Linked DNA regions of Drosophila melanogaster. Changing the gene in region 3 together with the main gene of any one other region gives a genetic interaction. Each region holds a gene or a part of one and is shown on either strand. Other genes may lie near its edges.

What was found.
Region 1: of Dg (region 3) and chif, changing one enhances a phenotype caused by changing the other (phenotypic enhancement), as found in Drosophila melanogaster (2 studies listed by BioGRID).
Region 2: of Dg (region 3) and vimar, changing one enhances a phenotype caused by changing the other (phenotypic enhancement), as found in Drosophila melanogaster (2 studies listed by BioGRID).

Annotation. Positions count from the first base shown.
Region 1 is NT_033779.5:16,349,583-16,354,245, reverse strand, and holds the start of chif (chiffon), read left to right. Parts: upstream 1-1,617; 5' UTR 1,618-2,219; coding exon of another isoform or gene 2,220-2,319; intron 2,320-3,962; exon of another isoform or gene 3,963-4,259; intron 4,260-4,663. Other genes in the region: CG4455 (uncharacterized protein), read right to left, coding at 693-1,033, 1,112-1,151; Hyls1 centriolar and ciliogenesis associated, read left to right, coding at 2,220-2,319. UniProt on the Drosophila melanogaster protein: A bicistronic gene producing two proteins that are components of different complexes and have separate properties and functions.
Region 2 is NT_033778.4:6,982,667-6,987,229, reverse strand, and holds the start of vimar (visceral mesodermal armadillo-repeats), read left to right. Parts: upstream 1-1,517; 5' UTR 1,518-1,811; coding exon 1,812-1,818; intron 1,819-4,243; exon of another isoform or gene 4,244-4,521; coding exon of another isoform or gene 4,522-4,563. Other genes in the region: CG17002 (uncharacterized protein), read right to left, coding at 297-396, 454-885; CG30156 (uncharacterized protein), read left to right, coding at 4,522-4,563. UniProt on the Drosophila melanogaster protein: Probably acts as a GEF (guanine nucleotide exchange factor) for the Rho family of small GTP-binding proteins (G proteins) that stimulates the dissociation of GDP to enable subsequent binding of GTP.
Region 3 is NT_033778.4:16,095,547-16,100,217, reverse strand, and holds the start of Dg (dystroglycan), read left to right. Parts: upstream 1-1,653; 5' UTR 1,654-2,090; intron 2,091-4,671. Other genes in the region: CG8414 (uncharacterized protein), read left to right, coding at 1-524, 583-848; mRpL34 (mitochondrial ribosomal protein L34), read right to left, coding at 917-1,139, 1,203-1,225.

The DNA of each region.
Region 1 (4,663 bases), on a different chromosome or scaffold from region 3:
TGTAGTGCAAAATTCGAGGCATCACGAAGAGTTCGTCTGTTAGTACGATTCGGATTCTTAATGCAAATTGGGTTGCGTGAAGACGGTATAAAAAAGATCGCTAAATTCCCTTGGATTTCGAAAGAAACAACCAGGCAACGTGACTCAATTGCCACAATTTGGCTCTGTCCCACAAAAAAAATGAACAGAGAACAAAGCGGTGAGTAAACGGCTAAAACTACCTGCATTAAAAGAAATAAAAAAAGGCCAAAGATGCAGGAGGGACAAGGAAAAAGGGCCAGAGGACAGGCCAAACTTGTTGAGCCCGGGATTAAGAGAAACAACAGATAAAGAAACAGTCGGGGATGCGTAGGAAACCCAATTTACAATTATGAATGATTAATTCCCTTTCCAGCGAACTCCTCAACTGGTTATTGCTATGTGTAGTACTGCTTTGTTACGAAATTCGGTCAAAATATGGGAAAATTCTTTCAGAGCATTTCGGAACTTCGAATATGTTAAAAAAGTAATTACTTTCCAGTAATGCGAAGGGTATATAGAGATAAAATTCGAGATATTTCTTTTTAAAACTTAGGACCTAAATCTGTAGTCATACTAATGGGTTTTCGTTTCTGGCTGGCATTTAAGTCTTTTTCGCGTTACTAAATTGAAGTACTACTAAACCACTATCCTCCAGGTGTCCACACCCCGAATCAGGCCAACGTATGATGGTGTTTCTGGTCGGGATAGTTCTCTATGGATTGAATGGAGCGCGATGTGGCGGCAGTAATGGTTGAAGATACGTCCATAAACCGATATTTCTTGTCATCGCGACAGAGTAAGGGGTAGCAAATGATGCCGTAGTAGAAGACGAGGCAGAGAACGATTACGGTGAAGATGATGGCGATGATGCCGAATGTGGAGATTCCGGGTCGACTATCCAGATACTCCTTGGCCGTCTGCGGGGGCTGGGTGGTGGTGGGCGGTTCCGTGGCCTTGTAACCCCTTCGATTGTTCCGCGCTGCACTCGCACTGAAAACCAAGCAGCTGGCGCCTGCAATAACGAGATGCGTATCCGTAAAATCTGATCGCGAGGCGATTTCTTCATTTCTTCTCCCTCTCTTTCGCTCACCTAAAAACAGCACACACAACAGGTACGAACTGCGAGACATTTTTAATTTATTTCGAATTTACGATTGAGCACGAACGCGGGGCGAAATCAGTTCGTTGGCACGAGAACGGGACGCAGACGCAGAACAGAGACTCGAGAATCACACAAAGCAACAAGAAAGCAAGACAAAAACCTTTCGCGTTGCTGGTAGGGACGGACTGTCGTTGCCTATCGATACATGAAGATAGCCATCGCTGTCGATGTTTCAAATCGCAATTACAAATTTTAAATTTATGGTATATATCATAGATTCATGTTAACAAAATTGTAAGTACGTTAGTGTATATTTTTAAATGAAATAAATAAATTCAATGAATAATTAATGTCTCTCGTCACGAAAAACGAATCAATATTAAACTAGACCTTTTTTAAAACTGCTAATCCGTGACTTTTTCCCTTAAAACGATATGTGACCGCGACTCAGTCACGCCGCTTAGCAACCATCGACCATCGCCAGCCAACATAGTTATCGATAACACGACGAAAATTTGGTTGCCGAGCGTGTGTGCGCTGCCCTGTCCGTGTACACTTTATTTTCAATTGGTGAAAATTGTTATAAAACTAGCGAGGAAATATGTGAAAATAAGAAAAGGCCCAATTTCGACACTCGAACTGTGCGTGCACAATCGAATTGGCGACCATCCGACCGCGAAAACCTGATAAAAGGCATAAAAATAACAAAGGCGTTAGCAAACGAACGACGGGCGAACGAAGGCATATAGACGCTTATACCGATCGTTCCCATACAGTTGTGTATATTTAGTCATTGCAACTGATTAACTTGACGCAAGTAAATGCAAGTATAAACTCAAAAACGGCCAACGCAGAGCAAAAGTACAGTGAAAATTGGTCGATTGTCGGCGCACGAAGACGAATACGAACAAAAGGAAGAAGAAGCGAACGAAACAAACGAGAAAGAGAAACCAAACGAACGGCGATTTTGCATTCGTGTGTGTGTTTGTATGTGCTCGAGTGCGCGCGCGTGTGTATGTGTGAGGGTGGAATATAAACAAAAAATAATTAACAATACGAATATCAAGAACGATTGCTCTACTTGGCGAAAAGTAAAATGTCACATTTGCCACTAGATGCACGGGCCATTCTCCAGTATCTAAATGATTTGGGCTATAGGAACATATCAGCCGAGCAACTCCGTGAATTTCTAAAAGGTAAGCAATCCGTACAAGTGTGCGTGCGTGTGTGTGTGGGATTGTTTTTGGTTTGTTATTTTGTATGCACAATTTTTTTTGGTTGCGGCTTTTCAAACTGAATTTCAAACGATTCGTCACCATTTCAATTTGTTTTTATTTCCAAAACGAACGTGCGTACAAAGCACAGACAAGAAAAAGAGCAGCGGCACAGGCAGAAATACGGAGCAATGGAAAAAAGAAAATATAAAAACGAGTATTACTTGGAAATTGTGAATAACACACTATACATACCCATGGCACAGTGGTTTGCAGCAACAAAATTCATTCGGACCAAAAATTTAGGAATAATCGAATAAAGGCCGGCCCGACATCGAAGGAAAACTGCTTTGGCAAGGTTCACGTACTGTGGCATAAATACATTTCAGTGGAAATCCTAAACACACGGCTCTTGTGACCCCACTGTTCTGTGTGTTTTTTGTACTTGGCTTGCTAGTCATAGTTGTTGTTGCTGCTGCCCTGGGCCTGCTTTTCTGCGTTTGCTCGTGTGTTTCGGCCTCCACCACATTGTAAGCTTCATCCGCAACTTCACATGAATTTTATCCACAAACATACATATGTACGCATACAGCAGCGGGTAAAGCGTTAGGGAAATGTCGATGTGCAATTTGAATTTGTAATATTAATAGAAAAATTGTCTTACGGAATATATTTTATTTACCTAATGCACAAAACTCATTACACTCATTAAAATGTCTATTTCGGTTATTTTAAATTGAAAGTGCTATAATTTCCACCGCAACTGTATGAATTGTGTGTGTGTGTTGTTTTTTTCCCTCCACTCTCTTTTTGTGTTTTGTGCGTTTTTCGTGTTATTTTTCGCTTTACTCCTTGTGTGCTCCTACTCTTTTTCTTATTTTTCCTTAGTTGTTGTTGCTACTGCTACCGCTTGAGGGTTGCCACTAGGGTTTCTTTCGTTTCTCTTTGCGCCAACGTTTCGTTTTGTAATGGCAAATATAAAGCGAGGGCAGAAAAAGTGCCAGCGCAGCGCTGATGTGCTCGTTTTTCAGGTTATATATATATTGACGCGCGTCAGTGCATATTGGCTAGGCATACAATTTATTTGCAAGTATTTACGAATGTGTTAGTACTGTGAACGGCAGGGTTGCCGGACTAATTGTCATTATGAGTTTAATATCGGTCATCGGCCATTATGGCTTTGTCAGCTCATTCGCATTGTTTTTTTGGGAGACGTAAAAAACCAAAACAACAAATATGAATGGAATGTGATAAGCCATATTGCGCAAATTAGCAAGAAATACAACGATAAGATGCATAATTATATTTGTTAGGGTTGACTTTATAAAATTAAATAATAATAGTATAAATAAAGAAAGTACAATTTATTAAATAGAGCTTATATACAAGCCGAGGTTAGTATGAGTGATTAAGAATAAGTGTCATCACCAACTGTTTTTTTTCTTGAATCGCTATTCTTCCACATTTGTTTTTTCGTGCCTGTTTTGTAAATATAACTGGTTTTTAATCAAATGCAACAATACAGTACAATTATGTTGCAGCTGTGTCACCCCTAATTTTTTCGCGTGCTGGCAACGCCTCGCTAAGCGTAGCCCCCCGACCTGGCAGCGCTATGCTGCAGCACAGCTGCTGCTTCTTCTTCTTCCACCCGCTTGGGTCGTGTTTCTGTGTTCCATTTAGTTTGGAATTAAAATAAATTAACTCACACTTAACACTCGATGGCCTTTTAGGCAATACATACCGAAATGCATCCAAGTGCAGTTATTGATTTGATTTGTGTGTATCCGAATGCAACATTGCATAACACACATCGGGAAACGTACAAGGAACAAGAGGAAGAAGAACCACCGGGAGTAGGATTTCCCCCACAGTGATTTATTTGTTTTTATATCATTTTTCGTGGCAAACAAGTTTAAAACGCGGTTGGTGTTGGATTTCCAGCTACGGTCGAATTTTGAATAAAAATTAAAAACTAAACCAATTATATCAATGGTTATAACTACAGCTTTAGACTGGTATAACTTTGTTCCAACTAAAATTGGAGGGAAACTTTATAGGAGTGGTTCTTGTTTTTAATAAAATGTTTTTAAATATTTGTGTTACTGAAACATTTTATAAGAACATGTACAACGTATTTGGATGTAATAAGTTGGAAATTAATATTACTTAAGTTCAATTTTTTTTTTTTTGTAAATAATCATTTTTATGGTCTGATTTTTAAATTTATTTTTGAGTGCAATGGTAAAATCTTAAGTTTCATTAAATTTAACTCTACATAAAGCATACAGTTATTTTGTACTTTGTGAATTTGGTAGAATATTGCCAA
Region 2 (4,563 bases), 9.1 Mb from region 3:
AATTAGAAGTTCAATTGATATTAGTGCTAATATTTCATAGAGCTTAAAAAAGGGCTTGGCAATCAGAATGTAGAGATGATGACATCACAAAAATCACGTATATCTCTCGTCCAAATCAAGAACCATACATATGTGCTAACCAATTCAATGACTAATCAAATTATGAGCAGATCCCGCATTCGAGTTAACAAAATCCAACCGAAATTGCGTGCATGAGACTTTGGACTGCCTGCCTGAGGCAGCGTTCACTGTATCGGAGGCCCAGGGACCACATTGTCGACCTCTTCCTGGCTTACTCTGCTGGGCGTAGCTGGCGGCGCTCTTGTAGTAAGCCTGCTGCTGACTCGGCGGCGATGGACTCCTGCCACGTTTTCCTGGCTGTCCGCCGGACGGGAGCTGCGAGGAAAAAAGAGGACCATTAGAACCTGAATCCCACAATTGCGCAGTCGAGACCTTCTGCATCAGCGTATGGTGCTGGTGTTGGAGGCGCAGGGGCGGCAGGAAGACCGGGCTACTGGCCGCCGCCTGCTGGATGGCGAACAGTTCGTTCTCCTTGGCCAGCTTCTTGCGCGTTTCGTCCTCGTTGAGCACCTTCTTGAGTTGGACGGTCAGCTGATGCTTCTGGCTGTGCAGATCGGCCAGCTGCTCGTCCAGTCGGGTTATCTGGCCGCGTGTGTCATCCAGGGCCACCTGGTTCTGGCGCTCCACCTCCTCGCGCTCCCGTCGCAGCCGCTGCTCCTCGCACTGAGCCTCGAACTCCTCCTGGCGCCGCTGGCGGTCCGCCACGATGAAGCCCTTCAGTGCCCCGCGCAGCTTCTCCGCCCGCTCGGCCTTCGCCGCCTGGGCGGCCGCGTTGCTGTTGTTTACCGCTGATGCTGGCGGCATCTTTGTGCTCTGCTTAGTTATCTTGCCAATTTTATAAGCGTTCGTGGACGACCGGGCAATCGCGACTGTTTGACCGAACCGACCGAGAGGCTCCCCAAATGGAATGGCGTGCTGGTGGCGGTGGGCTGGAATCCGGGTGGACACCGCTACGGGAATCAATGGTTGGGCGTCTTGGGATCACTGCAAATGCTCGACGCCGGGCTGCACTTTATTTTCGTTCACTTTCAGCACGGTTTTTTGTGGTAAACAATTTGTTGAGTGAGTGGGATGTGCCGACCAGTGTTGCCACCAATCGATTAATGGGCAAAGCTAGCTAGAAAATAGCTACTTTCCGATTGTGGTGGCAAATCTTAAGTTAACGTTCGAACTAAATCACTTATAAAGAATTCGATTTTTTCTTTAAAGCTTATATTCCTAATATTACTAGTCACACCCCAGAATTTAATATAAAATACAAATAGTTTCAACACTGATCGATACTTATCGATAACTTTTTGGAAACAGATTATAGTTTTTGGAAAATCCAAGCATTAAAGTCTAGACATTCTAGAAATGTCTATCGATGTTAATAAAATGCGTAAGCATCGATATGGCATCTCTCATTGGAGGTATCGTGCAGCTCGAGCTCTGCGGTCACACTAGAATTGCAGTTGTTGGTGTGAACGTCTGAACGCGATTCGGAAAATACGGATTACACGGATAATACGAATTATACGGATATTGCGGAAGTTGAACGGAGACGCGACTGAAAGAAAGCCGTGAAATGTGTTCAGTTGCGCGCAGCAGTCATTAGCCTATCAGCAGTGTTTGTTACAAGCTAACAGTGATACAACGTGCCTGGAATCGCAACCAACGCAGAGCAAGAAAAGCAGAAAAGCATAAAAACGGAAGAAGCAGCAGCGGAATAATCAACAAAGGCGGCAAACATGGCGAGTGAGTAACATCGAGCATTTCTCTGCCTATGGAGCATCCCAAACGACATACAGCAGACCCCGGATTCCTTTTCCATAGCATAAACAAACGCAATTCATGCGAGTCATTGCAGCGGCCGTTTTATGGCTGCAGTGCAGCATTTACGAGCTGCGAAAACTTCCAAATCGCTGCCAGGTGTCGGAGGAAGTTGCTCCGAGCAGGGGCAGTGGGGTGGGGGCGGGCGATGCGGCTCCCTAGACAAGATGTGTGTGTTTGCCGGGGACATGTGAGAAAAATCAATACTTATGCTCCCCACTCCCCATCCCACTGCACAGTGGGCCGGTCGGATTAGGCAGATGCCGTGCTCCTGCTGCTGTGCGCACCCACTTATCGCGGCCAACAGGGTCAGCGCTTCCCAATCAGAAATCCCGCTCTTTTATCCTTTAATGGCCCCGGCAGTTCTGGCGGGAATTAAGTGCGGCTGAGACAGCGGCCACCACCGTTTTGCACGAACCCGCCACCCGAGCCGCCCACTCCACCGCAGCACAGGAGGAATAGGAATGGGAACTGGGAACAGCAGTGACGACGCATTAATAAATGAGAATATGCCTCCTGCGAGGTGCCAGGTTTACCGGCGTGTCGCAACACTCCCCGCAGTCCTCACAATTCGTTTTATCCCCACGGGGGGTGATATAGCAAACAAAACGATGAAGTCATGCACAGTGAGAAATCTATGGCAACTTTGTTGAATTGTTGATAAACATTACAATTAGGACAATCTTCACAGATTAAGCTTAAAAGGGCTTAAAATTCGATACTACTTTGCAGTCAAAGCGCAGTCATTGTCAAGATAAAGCTGTGACTAACTAAAAGAAACCCCTTTTTTTCTTGTGTTTCTCAGTGTAGTTGGATGTGTAACGTACGCACTGGATGTGTTATATTTGGGTCAGTCACCGATGAGAATTGTTAAACGTAAACAAGTCTCTAAACTTCTTAGTTTTCAAACGTGACTGCACCGAATCAACACATACATAAACACTGGCCACAGACTGTACTGTTTGTATACCCTTTCCCGAGGGGAACCTGTGCAGAACGACAACAAACAGCACTTGAACGCGCCGGCAATCCCGGCCTCGAAACTTCCCCTTTTTCAGGAGGGGTGCTGCATCCCAATCCCCACACCACTGTACACCTCACTTGTCTACAGAACCCACCAGCTGCGCCCAGCGTAGCGAGACCCATTTCCACACTGAAAACAATTCGTGGTTCTTGTTCATTTTAATTCATATGCAAGCACTGGGAAACTTGCGCTGAATATATGATTTTCAAGACCTGTCATTCGGAGCATTCATTAAGTGTTACATAAGTTTTATACCTGAAGTATAGTACATTGAAATACTATTCGACATTACTATAGATTGTTTTGAAATCTAATGAAAGGACATCTATAAAATTCAAGGATGCAGGCCATTGGACCGTTGCGGCATGATTTACTCGCTGTGCAGATCCCAGCTGCGAGATGCTTGCCACGTCCTCCCTGCGGCTCAGTCACTTTGGACTTTAATTGGTCCTTTGTGACTGCATTTGTCGACGCTTTCGCTCGGCGTCTTCGACGCAATTTGACTGCTGTCCTTGAGGCTGTGGCTACCATCAACCCCGAGGCTGGGAGTCTGATAAGGAAGAGGATATCAGCTGCCAAAGCAGGCCGCTCCCCTCGCCAGATTCCAGATTCTAGATTCCGGAGCTGCTGCCTCTTTATTGTTATTGTTATTATTTTGGGCTTTTCCATTCGTTCCACGCAGCTTACCCAGATTAGCTGGCTGTTATTGTAGTTTGCCCGGCTTCGAATTTATTGTCCTTTTCCACCTCCTTCTTGCGTATTCCGGCGTCGTTGCTTCATTTGCTTCAAATCTAGCTGGGTGACTTGTGATTTCCCCGTGCCTAGCGCCTTCCACTCGCTTTATTCTTTTAACTGCTAATAAGATTTTGGCCCTTCTAATGGCCTTGAGAATGAATGGGGCGAGCAGGCCGCCTTGAAAAGATGAAATTGTGGGGTGGTTGGTGGCTAGCTCTGTTTTAATTGAGTTCGTGCCCTATTCAAATTGGCATAGAAATTAATTTCAATTAACTTTCGAGTCTTTTCGAGGAGGCTATGTGTGTCCCCTTGACAAGTTGTGGAGCATACTTTACGGGGCCAAAAGAGGGTTGGCATTTTGGGGAATCCCCCATCGACAGAACGTTCTAACTTGTGTGCTTCAAGTGTGCAACTTGTGTGCAAACTTTTAGTTTTTTCCGCTCTAAACTAAGCAACTTGTACAACTTGTGTCAACTTTTAAGTTGGTAAATTCGTTGGTATTTACACGAGTACTGCATGATTTAAATGTTCAATAAGCTGGCTGGTATGTAAAAAACGGATTCAAGTTGTCTTTTCTCAAGTGTTCATTGTGTTGACATACAAAATGTTGACTGGCGAAAGTCAATTTGTATTTAAGTTTGCAGCTACATATACATATACAGTCAACTTAGTTCGAAACTATTTCGGCTACCTCTAATATACATACAAAAGCACTTTGTTAAATTCACCAACTCGGTGGATTGTCCCAGAACAACAAACCAAAATTTAAAATTTGCAAACGAACAGAGAAAAACGAATCCTTTTTTGTCTTCTCACGCTGCTGGGAAGGAGAAGAAAGTAACCAAGAACTGGAGGACGACGACTTCACAATGGGAATCCTGCAGGCGAGGAGGCATCACTGCGTCGACAAG
Region 3 (4,671 bases):
TGCCAAGTATTCAAATATTCCTTGGCTGATAAATACGATGGGCTATAATAAGGGATTTGGTATCGAATTGATGGCTCTGCTGGTGGATCGCATTCGTCCCACGGATCTTGTACAGATTGCCAGTCCCATTCCAATCAATAACTTTGATTCTGTCCTCGACCGGAACAGTCTGTCGCAGATAAAACCAATTATATACTCTGCGGAGGAGTTCAAGATCAATGAAATACCAAAATACACACTCCATAAGCTGATAAGTGCAGTGCCTGCAAGGGAAAAAGGAACTTGGAGTCTCAGCGCCAAGGACATGCGGTACTCCAATCTTCTGGCACGTCTCAGTTCCTGCCTGACTGGAAATGCCAAATCTCTTACAGACTGCCAGCCGTTGGGAGTGTCTTTGGAATCCCTGAAAATCCTGCATCCCACCAGCAAGAATTACTCGCGCGAAGAACTGATTCGAGGCATGGAGGCTAATGTAGTATATCTGTGCCATCACGGAGCAGGTCTGCCCCAATGTTTGGGAATAGGTTTGTACACATTCACGTTCTTTTGTGGCTTATTAATTGAATTCCAAAATTCTTTTAGGTGTGGTTCGCGCCATCGACTACGAGCGCAAGGAGTTATACCTGGTGCCAGCAATGCCGCTACAAAAGATGTCCCTGGTGGATTGTCTTATCCTCGGCGGGGAACAGTCCCTGCCGCAGGGCTTCCTTCGGGATCAGGGCCAAGGTGTGTCCAGCAGTGTGCCCTTCGTGTTCATCCTTGACGATTCGAAATCTTCGAAGAGTATTCAGCAGATCTACCATCGAGCGCCAGCCTTTCTGGGAGTACCAGCGAATCAACGAAACTAAAACTGAGCTTACTGTAGCAATCGCAATCGGATAACATTGTAAATAAAGTTAGGTTTATTAACACAAGGCTAGTGTGACAAATTGTGACGTCCTTTGAGGATCCGGTTCATCAGCACTCGTCGTCCCTCAGGCGTCGACATCCTAGCATTCCAGCCGTGGACATTAATTCTCTTCACCTCCATGGGTTTCGGAAAATGGCAGCGTACTTTCGGTTTCAGCACCGCCCGGTTGAAAGCGTGCTTATCCCGCACGATTAGAGTTTGTGCGGTGCTGACAACCGCCAGGCAGGTCCTGCAATGCCAATGTATGTTATTATACCACTCAAAATAAATGGTATATTCATTATTTACTCGCCTTTGGAGCATTCCTTGCAGCATGTTAAGTAATTTCCAGTTAGTATGACCGCATGAAGTCCGAATAATACCGCCTGAACAGCCGGTAAGCCGCTTTGGCGTTGCCAGACCATTGGGTTCGAAATTTCGAACTTAGCTGCATGCTATTTTACGTTAGCATGTAAAATGCATTACATATAGATGGAATCATACAATTAATCTAAAAAATCGTCATAATATTGGTCAAATGGAAAACCACCATATGGGGACAAATTAGATAAACCGCTTTTAATTGAATGGATCTGAAAGTAACCGAAAACTTTTTAAATATGGAATGAATATGTTTGGTTGTACATATATCGAATTGGTATTGTGCCATCTCTAGCTACCCACGATGGTTGTGGCAGCGCAGCTGTTGCAAATGAATCCACAAGATACATTTCGGTATATTTTCCGCAACGGATTCTTTTCCACCCTCAGTTGCGGTCACACTGCCTAGCCAACAACAACCACAACTCGGTGCCGTTAGGGCTGCGTTTGTTTTCTGCTCCCATTCAGCTGCATAGAAAAGAAAGAAAAGTGAAAAGTGTTCGGAAAACAGGCAGCATGTGAAGCATAATTACTCCACGGAATTACTATCTCAAACGAAATAGTTGTCGCCGAAAAGAAGTGCGTAAAATCGCGAGTGAGCTCGTGAAAATAGAATAAAAAAGCGCTCTGCAATTGAAGAGAAACATTGCTGCAGTCGTGTGTACGTGCGTGTGTTTGTGCGTGCGAGTGTGAGTGTCGCTCTCTGGACGCAATTTCTTTGGCCAAAAGAGTGGGGAAGTGGGGCAGGAGAGTCCCGAATCGAATCCCCGAAACAGGCAATCCGAATCCGAATCCGGTGCATTAAAAATAGCGCAACGAGGTGAGTAAAGATGCAAACTGCAGCATTCAGTTCACGAGCTGATGCCAACAAAAAGAACTCCAATTAGCCATGTCTGCAGCCAGCCAAAAAAATAATGAAGAACGGCAGAAAAAATACAACAAGAAAATCGATTTTCCTGAACTTACAATTTTCTCCGCCTCACTGGGCAAAAGGGGGGGCGAAATGGAGCTTGGGGAGCCGGCTACGGCTCCATAAAGTATACATAAATTGAATTTCGAAACACGGAAGCGAAATGGATGCACTGGACGAAATAATGAATAAATTATTTTGATATCGAAAAGTTATTCTCGTTAGAAAAAGTTTCGCTGAGGGTCTCGAACGCAGTCTGTTTTTATAAAAGCATATTATTTAGCCTTATCAAGCAAGAGGATGAATAAAATTGCATTAAAATGTATTTCGACTAAATTTCGACTTGCTATACTTTATTTCTCTGCGTGTAAAAGGGGGCAGGAGGCTGCACACGGCTGTTGTTCTTGTTTTGTTTGCTGGTGTGGATGATGATGGAAATACTTGCATATGTGTGTGCGTTCTGCACAGAGGGAGATGTAAAAATTGAAAAATCTGACCAGAAGCAGGACCCTCCGACTTTTGGTCCAGTTGTCATGGCCACCGCACTTAACAAATGATTTTAGCGGCCACTTTTTCCCGGATGCGAATGGGGCAGCTGTCACTCCGTTTGCCTCCTCCTCCTTTTCTCCTTTTTCTGATTTCATCTGTCTGCCCCTTTCTATCTTGCTCTCTCCCCGTGTTCTCCAACGTGTGTGTGTGTGTGTGCGTATTTTGATGACGGCACTCAGTTTCCGCCCGCACTGTGATTTTTGGCCATACACGGCACCAATGTTTCAGTACAGTGGAACCTGGTGCGCAGGAACCAAATGAAGTTAAGTTTAAAACTGCATTTACTGCGACCATTTATGAAATTTTTTAAATGAGTTACATTTCAGGTTCTTCTAGATTTGTTTTAATGTGAGTAAACAATTTCTGCTTTAAAACGTAAAACTCACATGTACATAATATACAATTGTTGGCAAAGCAATAAAAACTTATTACTACCATAAAAATAAATAGGTCGACATTTTCAGACGCAAGAACGCATAGAATGTGTGAACAATACGTACAATAGCTTATTGACACAATATTTAGCATTCAGCGGATTAACTCATCAACGTTGGTTTTTGATTGAATGTGTTATATTATCTATTTATGTACATATTATATTATATAATATTTCGGCATAGGCTTTAACTAACTTTATGCTTGCCACTGTTTAAACTGGCTTGGTTTATCATACGTTTTTCCCAATTCGCGAGTGCCTACTGTAGAAAATCCCCGGCATTACCACTCAGTTTTCGGCACTCTTTTGCGGATGCTGCGTACGCAAAAAGGGGACGTCGGCTGTTCTAAGAGGACTAGATGTTTCCTTTTCACTTCCGCCAGCACCCCTAAATTACGTGTCTCTGTGTGAGTGTCTCTGCACGTGTGTGTGTTGCGTGCAAGTGTGTTTGTGTGTGTGGGCCAACAAAATTACTTTTACGAGCATTTAGCATAGGTTGTTGTCCCTTCGCCCATTTCCCCGGTTTCCCTTCGCCACCAGTTAGTTTTATTTTGATGCGTTTTTAATCAGATTGCGTCAATTTGTTGCTGGCCCAACGATGAGGGCGGTCCCGGTGGAGGGGGGGGGCGTTGGGATTGTCCTATTAGCGCTTGTGTGGGAGTGAGCGACCATTTCCCGGGTTGCGTGTCAAGTGCAGACCCTTTTTTCGCCCGCTTTTTTCACTAATTATAAGAATGTCTGTTTTGGCCTCGCATCTGGATGATGGCTCGTCATTGGGCTTACATTCTCGCTTTTGATGACTCAAAACTTAACTTTTCACTTTTGCAGTTCTCTTTGTGGCACCCACGCAATTAATTGGATTGATAGATTGAAAGCCTTTTGTTTTTAATTTTAGCAAATTAAATGCAAGAATAATACTTAAATGATTATATAGATATAAACTTTGAAATTTGATTATGATAATATGATAATATGAAAACAACTTGTGCTGAAGGAGAGACAGCCGAAGTTTAGGCACCAATTTGCCAGCAAAAGATAACAAGAATTCATTGAATTATGTTTGTTTTAACCAGTTAGGTTATGCATTCTTATGTAAAGTTTACCTTTTCTATAAACTGTAACTGATGTTAAATTTCATTTTTTGTATTCGTTAGTTAGTTAGTAAGGGGATCAACACTTCGTTGTTCAGTCGCCTTGTTTTTCTTAGTACCAATTCTTTTTGCTTTGCGCTTCTCCGTGGCCCGTTAAAGTACAGAAATACTTGGCCAGGCCGGCCGGAGTGCGAGTATCGTATCTATCATGGCGGCAGCTGTCCAATTCTCCAACCAGCCGGCACTGGATCGCTGTTTGTTGTTGTTGCTCTTGTATCTGCTGTCTGTCGTCTTCATCAACGCCTTAGTATCTGTGTTCGCTTGCTTATTTATTTGTGTGCGAGAGTGAGTAAGTGGCGCTGTGTGTGTTGTTGGCTTGAACTTTATGGCATTGCGTTGTTTTATGTTTGTTTTT